2 linked regions of the Neodiprion lecontei genome follow. The protein of the gene in region 2 interacts with the protein of the main gene of each other region in a pairwise test. Links are inferred from orthologs where the notes say so. Each region holds a gene or a part of one and is shown on either strand. Other genes may lie near its edges. The genes, in order: ubiquitin-conjugating enzyme E2-22 kDa and cysteine and histidine-rich protein 1 homolog.

Region 1 (6,319 bases), on a different chromosome or scaffold from region 2:
TTGGAGCATATCAACTGGTAAACAGATCTATAATCTTCCTGTTTCTGATCCTGTGATAGACTTCTGCGCCTTTAATACTAAAAACAATGACCTCTTTCTAGCAACGCTCTCTCAAAAGAAACTAAGGGCATATAAATATGGTAATTGATTATTTGTAAGATAAATGCATACAGACGTTGACGTCAAGTGTTATTAAGGAATAGCATGATGTGAAATCATAATCGAATGTGTTTTATTTACTAGTGAAATAGAAAGTGAAAGAAACTTGTTTAAACTATACAATATGTCATATACGTGTGTGTAATTAAATTTATGTGATACCGATTATTGTAGCGTAAGTATTTTGTATCGAATAAAAAAATTTTCTTTATAGATTAGGCACGTTTTTTAAGAGTGCTATAAGCCCTGTTTTTAAATATTGACCGAATAATTTTTTTACTTCCAGTAATTCAAAACTGTATACTATTTATATTTTTCCACGATCAAATCAAGGTGGATCAAATTTTGAAAGAAGTATTGAAAAAAAATTACTTTTATTAATATTTGAGGCCTATTAATGTACATTGATCTTATTAAATGGTATAAATCCTAAATTTCCCAATATGAACAGAGCAGAGTTTTTTTTTTGTTTTCCTGTAAATTCAAATTCACAGATCCCAACCATTTGTCCCAAGTTAACAAACTGGTTTGCGAGTAGTTGGACCTTGACTCTTGCTGGCGACACTTCAGACACAGCCTGCACATTGTGAATGATTGAAAAATGCATGAAATATTATGAAACATAACTATCAATTTTCAATTAATTGGAGTACATCGTATGCAGGTAAGATTTCACACCTGGCAATAGAACTTTACTCTTAGAATTACAATCGAAGTAAGATAGGATGTAGATTAAATTAATCAAATGTTCCATTACGTGAAACGTATACAACATCACTTAGCAAACGTGCACGGGACCGACCATGCGATATCCTGTCGTACCACACTGCCGTCTTACACTCCAAGTTTTCTAAGAAATGTATTTTCATCAAATAGCTACGTTCAATTTTTCGCCATAACCGTCACTGTAATTAAAATTATAAGTTTAATTTTGCTGATTTCTTGGAATTTTCTTATCGTCGGTATAATGAAAAGTAGTGTAAGTTTGCAAGTAATCAAACTTCAAAAAATGTGCAAAATTTAAATATTCACAAATCAAGTTTGGAGGCTACCGAAATTTCATAAATACGTTTATTAGGACTAAAAGATACGTTAATTTGATTAATATACACTCAAGAGTCAAGCGAAACCCCGTTACAATCAGTCGATATGCTGCAGGATATTATAATCAGCTAGTCAATCTTCAAATTTTGACAATTGAAGAAGTGTTTAATAATTTTATTTATATTCGAACAATAAGAGTTGGGGGCAAAAACATGTAATATCATCATTCATTGAACTGACAATGAGTTACACTTGAGTAGTACAACCGTTAGTAACGCAGTCAATTGGATACACACCTCCAGCAATGAGGTTTCACATAAAACTTGAACTCAGATTGAAGAAAAATTTCAGGGAAGCACTTGGCAACTGTGTTAGTGCCTAATCAAAGCAATTATCTTCGTAGATTTTAATACGTGTTTGGTTCTTAAATATTTTACTAATGCTGTTTCTAAGTGGATTATTGGGAATTGATTAAAAAAAAAACATTCATATGTCTATTCAAACATAAATGTCGCTTCGTCTTGTAGATTTAGAATTTACAACTTATTCTCGTAAATCGTAATAATGCCCTCCTCTTGAGTTACATACCTTATGAAATTTTGCTACTTAAAACTTGTTCATCAATTATTATTGTTTCTCGTATCTATTTTACATGTTAAATGAATGCTAATAGTTAGTCAAATTTGGGATCACTTCCAAAGTTATCTCACCATTGCAATATTGTCATTACGAATGTTGGGTTTTTTTCTCAATTATTTGAAAACACGATGGTATGCTTTTGTGACAGTGACATTCCAAGAGGTTGCTGCCAATTAGTAGCTGCTTTTTATGATACATAAGAATACACAGTAATCACTAACTGAATAGCTGTTCGGTGGCACGTTCTAAGTCCCAATTGTAGGAGGATAAGGCTACTCGTGCATTATGTTCTTCGATCCCCATATCAGTCAATCTTCTTATCTTGTCATCGAGATCTGACATCTTAGCTGGTCCTAAAAATATCAGGCATTTCTTGGTATTTTTTGATATTACAATCATTAGTTCGCTGAGGTCTTTACTCGTAAAAAAAACTTTAATAAATTTCGTAGTAGATAAATCTTGTACCACCAGCATACACAGACGTCCAATGTTTTGCAGTCTGACGAAACATTTCAGGCTGCTCCTTATACTGCTTAGCAACCACAGCGTCTTGTGGATCATCAGGCTCAGCAGCTGACAATAAGGCTTGTAACGATAACAAAACTGTTCTTAAGGTCATCGCAGCAGCCCTGACAAAGGATGACAATTATCGTTTAAAACACAATGCAACTAAAATCTGTTATGCAATTATTCTGTCGTAAGGTGATAGAACCAACGACATTGCAGAGTGCAAAATTATCACCCGATCAATTATATTAGTAACCATTATTGGACTGCAACTTACCATTGGTCTTTTAATATGTCCAAACATATGGCGCCTGTAACCGAGGATATATTTGGATGCCATATTTTTGTGATAAAACGAACCTGAAATAAAAAAGTGTAAAATTCAATGACTTCAGATCTTATACTACATCTTTGTTCATGATGGTTTTGGTACCTACTTTGGGTGGATTGAATGGATACGTTTCAGGTACTTTTATCTCTAACACGAAATTGCCACCTTCATATGGAGTGTCGGGTGGTCCTGCTATTTCACCCTTTAATTCTGTGAAGCTATCATTTACTAGTTCTACCTTAATCGCACATTTTGCCACCTGAAATGTTAGAGAAAAGAGATAAACATGATTAGTCAATTATTGTTTGTTGAAAATGCCAATAAAGTAGAAGAGGAAATCATTTGACAAGTTGACCATATTCAATATCAACTTCAACTATTGAAAATATATTTCAACTGAAACACAACACTATCTTATCAGCATATTTAATGAATATTATAATTGTAGAAAAGGGAAAGGCAACCAAGCTATGCACCGAGGTTGTTATGTTTTATCAACACAAATATTATCGCGATTCATACGAACAGTACTGCTCAACAGATACATCGTATTGCTGAGAAATAGTAATCTACTTTTAATAAGATTGCCGACCCCCTGTAGCCTTTAATCTGTAATACTTTTATAGAAAAAATGACCAAGCCAAGTTTATCAACGCGACCCGTAATGATGTGTAGAAAATAACAAAGTTTCGAAATGTCGACTAGCGCAAGAAGCGGTCTGAAGTAAGAAAATGTGACGAGATTCAAAGCAGTTTGTTAACAAAGCGTGGAAATCGTGATAGCCTGCCTACAAAGGGGTCTTGGAAAAACAAAACTTGACTGCAACCCAAAAATCTATGGCAAGCCCAGAAAATGTCGAATTATTGTCAACGGAAGAAGAAGAAAATGGTAAGTAAGCTACATTTATTGATATCTTTTCAAACAGGAATTTTGGATGGTTAATTAGTGACTCTAAAACAGTATTCAAATATCCGGAGAAATGATGAAACCTAAAAGATGAACCTGACAGAGAACGTAGATATTGAAGAAATAAAGATTCTATGGAAATGAGTATGAACTGAATAGGATATTTCATGTACTAAGAACTTGAGATTCTCACGAATTTTGTGAAAAGGATAAGTTTTCAATGAAAATGTTTTTTTTCTAATAACAACAGACACTTTTCAGACGAGGTAAATAATTGCGCAAGCAACTGTCAGAGGAAAGTTTGAAAATTATAACGAGCGAGGAAAGCGAGATGTGCCCTCAACTCAAAATTGTCTACGACTTGGTACGTGGAGAATCTGTTTAGCCGTTTGTTACAGGTTAGCGTTGCATAATATGTGAAATTCTCTCGCGATCACGCGTTTGGCTAAATACTGGTAAATGTACTGGGTCGTTGAGAAGTTGCACTTATTCACTCACCTCTTCGCTTTTTATAACCTCTTTGAACTCCCGTTTGATTCGTTGCGCCGCAATGTTCGCCATGTCTCCCTATCACTCCCAGCTACTCAATACACTGACATAATTTACCGCCGAATGTACGGATGCCAGTATTTACCTCGATTTAAACAGCTCTTTTAATTCATGTACTGTTGTCGCAACCTGTATTTTTTTTACCCAAATAACCGCTGGCGGTTACATACAATTTGTCATTCGATCACAGCTAGCGCCACATTGATAGGAAAAGACGAAAAGTAGAAAAGTGACTGTCACTTGCCTGTCTCTTTAAATTCCGACTAGAGTCACGCCGCGATTACTTTGGCGCTAATTTGAAATTTTTTTTTTCCTACCAATCTCGTTCGAGATTTTCAAAAAACTTATTCACTGACTCATGTAAATATGGTTATATATAACTTTTTTATTCAATTCTTCAACAACTACTTATGGAATACGTAAGCAATGACGCAGGTTTTATTCTACGCCTTCACAGATATTGAGTGGTGAATATTAACTGTTTTACTGTCAGATCTTAACGCTGCAATGCACTTATATAAATACTTTACCGAACGATTCTATTAATCTTTTACATTAATTGTAACGTAAGTGCATGAATTAAATCAGCATAAATAATTTTATAATTGAAGAAGAAAGTTGAAAAAATAACAAATTGGACCACGATGTCACGTACAAAAAATGTATAATATATATGTAACATTATACTGTGACAAAATGGAATATAATATGACAGAACACCGATTGATAATAAATTAACTATGACCGGATTAATTAGTAAACTTTAAATTATCTGCTGACTTATGAAACGAATAGTAAATATGTATGCTTCAATGATTCTCAAGTACATAATTACAATTCTGTTCGATTTTATGTCAATATGTTTGCAGCATCATATCTGCCATGTACGGACCGAACTATGAAACGCATTACCTAATTTTTTTTTTAATTATCCCCGTACCCGTTCATGAACAAATTTTATCTCTTCGAGTCATATTTAATGGTTTGAAAACGATAATATCTGTTGCAATTTTCGACATCCTCAAAATTCAAAATCAGTTCACAAAAAAGTTTCTATAGTCAGTCCTTACCGAGCAAGTCAAATGTCACTTATGATTAACTATTATCAGAGCCTACGCATTCGTTAACGGGAAAAGGTAGTCCCGTGATAGCACTATTCTGTATCGAAAGCAGAACACAAGAACCCAACGGGTATTTGTTTTACGCTACAATGATATTCCTGTAATAGAATTACTACTAATTGTAGGAGCACATTTTCTGATGTTATTCTTGCATGAAAGACAGAAGCTTTTGAATATTCTTGTTCGACATTGCAGTGGCTAAAATGTGCTATCCGCGCCATTTTCATGTCAGTGATGCGTAGACTCTGGGTAATAGTCAAAATGAGTGATATTTTATTCGGTTACTAGAGACTACCCGTAGCATCCTCTTAAAACTCGCTGGAAGTTCGTGAGAATATGAAAAAAAAATAAAAAAATAACAGAAAAATTGGCCAATTTGAATGATCGACCAGCTAATCATAGCGCAGAGCAAGAGAGATAGAGTATACCGAGTGGCCGTTACCATTTACCCCATGAGGCATGCGAGCTTTTCGTGGACAGCAAAATGCTGCGGCAGTATTTTACTGCCTAGTTCCAGACCAATGCAAATAATAATAAAAATGGATAATTCGCATTCAGCGTGCATCAGGCAGCACTTTATTACTTTATCGGCATTCCTATCGGTGAAAAAAGCATATTGCCGCCAGTGAAAATCCACCCTAAGATCAAAGATTTGAAATGCAAATAATTCGGTAAGCTGACACGAGGGAGCGCTGGGTCCGCATACTGATAATTTCCGGACGGCTCTGATTGGTCGTTCGGATTTACAGTAATGCCCGTCTCGCAACCAGTCCGTGCGAGGAGTTTGTTACGCGCAAAGTTAGAGAAACCTCGTGGCGGTAGTGTACTACGGAGCAGAATGCCAAATATCAAAGTATTCAGCGGTACGTCGCACCCGGACCTGGCGCAGCGAATAGTCGACAGGCTTGGAATCGACATCGGGAAGGTTGTCACGAAAAAATTCAGCAACCTCGAAACATGGTAACTACATCATTGCAGCCCTTATTTATCCTTTTATCTTATAAAGAGTCAGGACCCGCGCCGCTTCCTCGCGGAGCAATGGCCAATCCAACTCGTCGACAAA
Region 2 (4,827 bases):
TTGTTTTCGTATACAAAGTATACACAGGTGTATGAAATACATTTCCACTTAAAGAAGTGAAAGTGCGGAATAAAGAATAAAAAGATGTATTATAATTAAATACTTTTTTGATTTTGTTTTGCGCAGATGAAATCAAAATTTTTCAATATCAATAGTGTCTGAATACTGGTATTCAATGATTAGTGTTTGTGAATTCGTGAATTCGTTTTGTACTTGTTGAATTGATGACAGTAGAAATCATCAAATTATTAATACTTTGGAAACGAATTATGTATAATTATTTAAGCTTCAGGTTTTTGATTTCGGGAAAGGGTCAGGCTGATTATACGAATTTGGCATATTGTAATTACCCATTAAGTCAATCAAAATAAAAGTTAGGGAAAAAAGCAAAAGTAAAACTAATGAAGTGTCTCCAACGAAAAGCAGAGGGAAGGGATGCTAGGCTTAATAAAAACTAATCTGAAAGTGTCAAAACTATTTAAACTTGCGGAATCATCTATTGACACGTTAAATTAATGATATTGGGTATTTTTCAAGTAAAAATGAAATACTTAACTTCTAAGAAGAAGAAAGGATACATTTTCGTGCCAATACGTAAGCGTTACGAAATAATTGAATCGAATTATAAAATATGGCACAACTGTCAAAAGTTATAGTATATTTATAATGTGATAAATTAAGAAATTGAGAAACGTTAATAACTGCAGTCGCTTGCTGCTTCTAGCCTTGAGGCGTATTGACAAATTTTCCCGTGCGATGATGTTGAAATTGAAAAAAGTTTCAAGCCCGATTAAAATCTCTACGCAAAGTTATCATTACCCAGGCTCTTATCGGAACAAGCAATTTATCGTTTCACATACCGTAAAAATAAAAACAAAGGAACATATACGCATAAAAGACAAAGAACGTTGTAACGATAATTGTCTTAATAAAACCTGTGAGAACATATTCAAATTTAAATATACGGTTTATTTTATCAGTCCCTTATACACGACCTTCTCCTATCATTGGTATCAATTAGACGCGAGTCTTTAACCACATCAGTCACGCCATAAATTTCTAATTATTCGAATATATTGAATTATAGAGATATAATAAATATTAGTACAATAATGTATTTTTATACATGCGTTTTCGAAACGATTCTCTACTGTCACGTACTATCGATGTTAAAGAAACAAACAATTTTGTCCTGTCTAAGTGTATACGATTTTGAAATTTCGAATGACAAAAGTAGATAGCAAACAGCTGATTTCGAGCGGTAACTTATATTACTATATCCGATGTGTACCGCAGTTGTCTTTTCCGAAGTTAAAAAGAAAGACATAAACTAACATCAAAGTGATCGTAACGGTTACATAATTCTCGTATCGCCGTCGAGTCGGTGGATTACAAAAAAAAAAAAAAACCGCATCTCCGCCTGGTCGAATGACAAAATTTTCTAACTGCATAGCGAACGATGATCGCTTAGCTACCTCGAGAAGAATTCATCTAGCCACTTATAAATAACTGCATCGAGGAACGGAGATGCGTACAGAGCAGGACGATCATAGCCGTGGCGTGGGTTTTAAAAATATCGCACGTGCCGCCTGCGAGGGTCTCGCCAGATTGGCCAACGGCTCCTGCTGCGCAGTGTCGGGAGTCGATCAGCTGACTCGCATGCAGCCCCCCCCCCCGCTCCCGGCCTGTGCCGCTCCCCCCCGCCAGCCATTTGCCCCTCCTCCTCGCCCCTCTCCCCTCCGCGCCGCTTGGCCGACGTGCCTCTTGAGCTGGGAATTCGACGGCGTGTGTCGCGCAGTCAGTGTCACGCAGCAGCGCGTGTGAGATATCTGACAGAACACAAAGTAAGGAGGAGGAACGAATTTGATAGATCGGGTGGATGACGGCAGAGTTTTGAGCCGGGAAACTATCGTCGATTGGCCCGGGGCAGGATCGGAGTGGTGTAAAATAGAAAGATATATAAAAAGAGATACAGCGATATAGAGGAGACAAAAGAGCGGCGGGTGAGGCTCCGCGGCGGCACCCAGACGGTTGTCAAAAAATCAAAACAACAAAAATGGCCGATCCGAGCAGCGAGGCCGCGTCGTCCAGCGGCGCTTCGGATCTGGCGGCCGTCGCCGCCGCAACACCGATACGCGACGAGGCCGAGAAACAACAGGTCGAGGATTTTCTCGAACCGGATAAAAAGCGTAGGAAATTTTCAAGGGGCGACGGAAAGACAGAGCAAAAGCTGGAGCATCGGCTGGGCGGCATCCTCTGCTGTGCCGTCTGTCTCGATCTGCCCCGGGCAGCCGTTTACCAGGTATGTACGTCCCTCTCGCCCTTACGCGCGCCTCCTATCCCTTCTCTCTCTCTCTCTCTCTCTCCCTACGTCTCTTCTTTGTCTCGACTGCTCCTTCGCTCACCGTGACGCGACAGCGATCCCGAACAGCTGTTCCGTCACGTACCTCTCCATCCATCCACCAAACGCGCATTTCACGTTTTCGATTAATATCCATGTACGGTCTCGACGGTGACGCGTTTCGTTTCGTACGGGCAAATCGCACGTGATTGTTCTTTAATTTTCCTCTCTCACCCCGCTGACGAATTTCTTTGTATTGATTTTTTTTTTATTCCTGAACGAAATGTCCTCATTTTCTCCGATCTTGCGATCTTTTTGCAACGTCGAGTCCTGAATCTCCTCGAATATGTATATGTTGTAATATGTGGATGGTTGTGATAGAAGGCGTGTAGTAGGACAAAATGGAGATCTCTTTTACTTATTTTTCTTCTTCTGTTTCTTATCCCTCTTATGCAATATCTGGATGAAACGCAGCGGTGTTTATCCTAGTATTATAAGTAAAATATAACGCACAGACGAACTGTGCAACAACTATAGTACCTGTATACTAATTTTCTTTCATCATTTACTTTGTTATTCTTTCCTCCCTCCGCAGAACTAGTAGTGTCTATTTTTCGATATTATAGAAACAAAATTACACGCTAACAAGGTATAGATAAACTAATAAATTGAAAAAAGAAAAAGATAAAAGGAGCAAGGATTGTCAGGCAAGTATACGCTCGATTTTATTACATAGGTATGTCGTACAATCTAAAAATTTGCAGACATCCTCGTAGTTACGATAACTTATAGTTTACAGATCGTAAACTTTAACCTGAAAGCGCACCGAAAATCGAATAAATTATCAATTGTTAAAAAAAAAAAGAGGACACGATGCTCAAAGTATCCACGGCACGTGTGTGTACTGTGTGTATGCGTGTGTGTATGTGCGTGAGTAAAATGTGAATGTGTATTCGATAATTGTTGAGCTAAATAGTATATTGTGTTCAAAAGCTGCATCGTACTCTGGTACATACTACGTATATATTATATATACAAAAACGCGCAAAAACAAGGTAGGTGAATAATTCACGTTCTCTTTCTCTTTCTCTCTCTCTCTCTCTCTCTCTTTCTCTACATAATCAATGAACGACTTTATACCCCGCATGGCGTTCACGTTGGCATTATTCTTGTAACAGAGGAACAAAGAATACCTCCGATAAATAGGATGAAAAAAGAAATAATGAAAAAAGAACAGATTGATAATATTCTGTTTTCTGCATTTCTTTCTTCACCACCGTTTCGACATGTATTCTTGCGTGTTAGATAATTCACCCAGAATCCACTTCTCGAAAGTGCTACACCTACGATAATATCGCCTTCCTGTCGACGGTGAACACATGGGGTTTGAAAAATCAATAACCGGCAATGGTCAAGACGGAGTTGACTCTTCACGATCGGCAACAAAGCCCGGAGACACACCTAGGTACTTATATTACGTTGCGTATCTGATCGTGAATCGGAGTTTGTCCCTCTTTCATATCCGTAAGTCTATGTAATAATGCTTTCAACGGAGGAACGTGGGTATCGAAAACAATTGAACAACGAGGCTGAAGTTGGCTGCAACGTTTAACGTAACGAAAAATTGAGGGGAAAACATGGATTTACTTTAAAATTTTACAACTACCGATGGATTGAGTCATGAGAATATATCAGTCGACCATTTCGCTTTATTCATACGGTTCATCGAACATCGTTACACAATCGTAACGTTGCGAAACATGGACGATTTTTTTACCCAATTTTTAAGCATCGTTAGAATTACGCTGCCAACTTCAGCCTCGTGACTATTCGACGAACGAAATCGTGTGCCGCGGGCCAATCTACTCTGTATGTATACGTACATACGTACGTTTGTACGTACAATTATGCAACAATAGCGCAGCTTTCATATATATAAACTGCAGCCACACATATAGGTACGTTCACTGCAGCGTGAAAACCGTTACGCAACCTTGAGAGCTTACCTTAACTTCCGCGGCTTCTACGCAGTAATATTTTTATTTACATCTAATCGTTCCATCATCGCGTCTTTGGCGGTAGTCTGTCGTTTCTCTCCCTTGTATGGATAAAATCGTTAATCTCAAGTTTTTGTATTTAAATACGAATGAGTTATCGCCTTTATTTTCTTTGTTTATTTTAAATATACTCCTTCTTATCACTTATCGGTTCCCTCTGCAATCACGCACGAAGATATATGGTACAGAGAGAATTTATGATGTATTTAAATCGTTCATGTCACGCGACGCCATTTTCCGTCTATTCGATGCTTGCTTCTTTTCTCTTTCTCATAATCAGTGCTTATCATCTTTTGTTCGTTGGATTGCAATCGTTGCGCCATTCGGAGCCAGACGCGTCATTGGCAACGTTCAACATATATATATATATATATAGTTCAAAGTATAATTTATATTGATACGAATTGAGCCGACTTCGTTTAGTGGTTC

Evidence for each region.
Region 1: the proteins of cysteine and histidine-rich protein 1 homolog (region 2) and ubiquitin-conjugating enzyme E2-22 kDa interact in a two-hybrid assay, tested with the Drosophila melanogaster proteins (2 studies listed by BioGRID). The link is inferred for Neodiprion lecontei from reciprocal best matches to the Drosophila melanogaster genes CG32486 and Ubc4.

The regions. Positions count from the first base shown.
Region 1 is NC_060261.1:10,719,939-10,726,257, forward strand, and holds ubiquitin-conjugating enzyme E2-22 kDa, read right to left. Parts: upstream 4,359-6,319; 5' UTR 4,148-4,358; coding exon 4,085-4,147; intron 2,940-4,084; coding exon 2,787-2,939; intron 2,710-2,786; coding exon 2,627-2,709; intron 2,472-2,626; coding exon 2,308-2,471; intron 2,196-2,307; coding exon 2,064-2,195; coding exon of another isoform or gene 2,059-2,063; exon of another isoform or gene 1,065-2,058; coding exon 1,042-1,064; 3' UTR 737-1,041; coding exon of another isoform or gene 726-736; 3' UTR 517-725; downstream 1-516. Other genes in the region: E3 ubiquitin-protein ligase RFWD3, read left to right, coding at 1-148; ribose-phosphate pyrophosphokinase 1, read left to right, coding at 6,008-6,216. UniProt on the Drosophila melanogaster protein: Catalyzes the covalent attachment of ubiquitin to other proteins.
Region 2 is NC_060260.1:36,889,199-36,894,025, forward strand, and holds the start of cysteine and histidine-rich protein 1 homolog, read left to right. Parts: upstream 1-1,780; 5' UTR 1,781-2,056; coding exon 2,057-2,302; intron 2,303-4,827.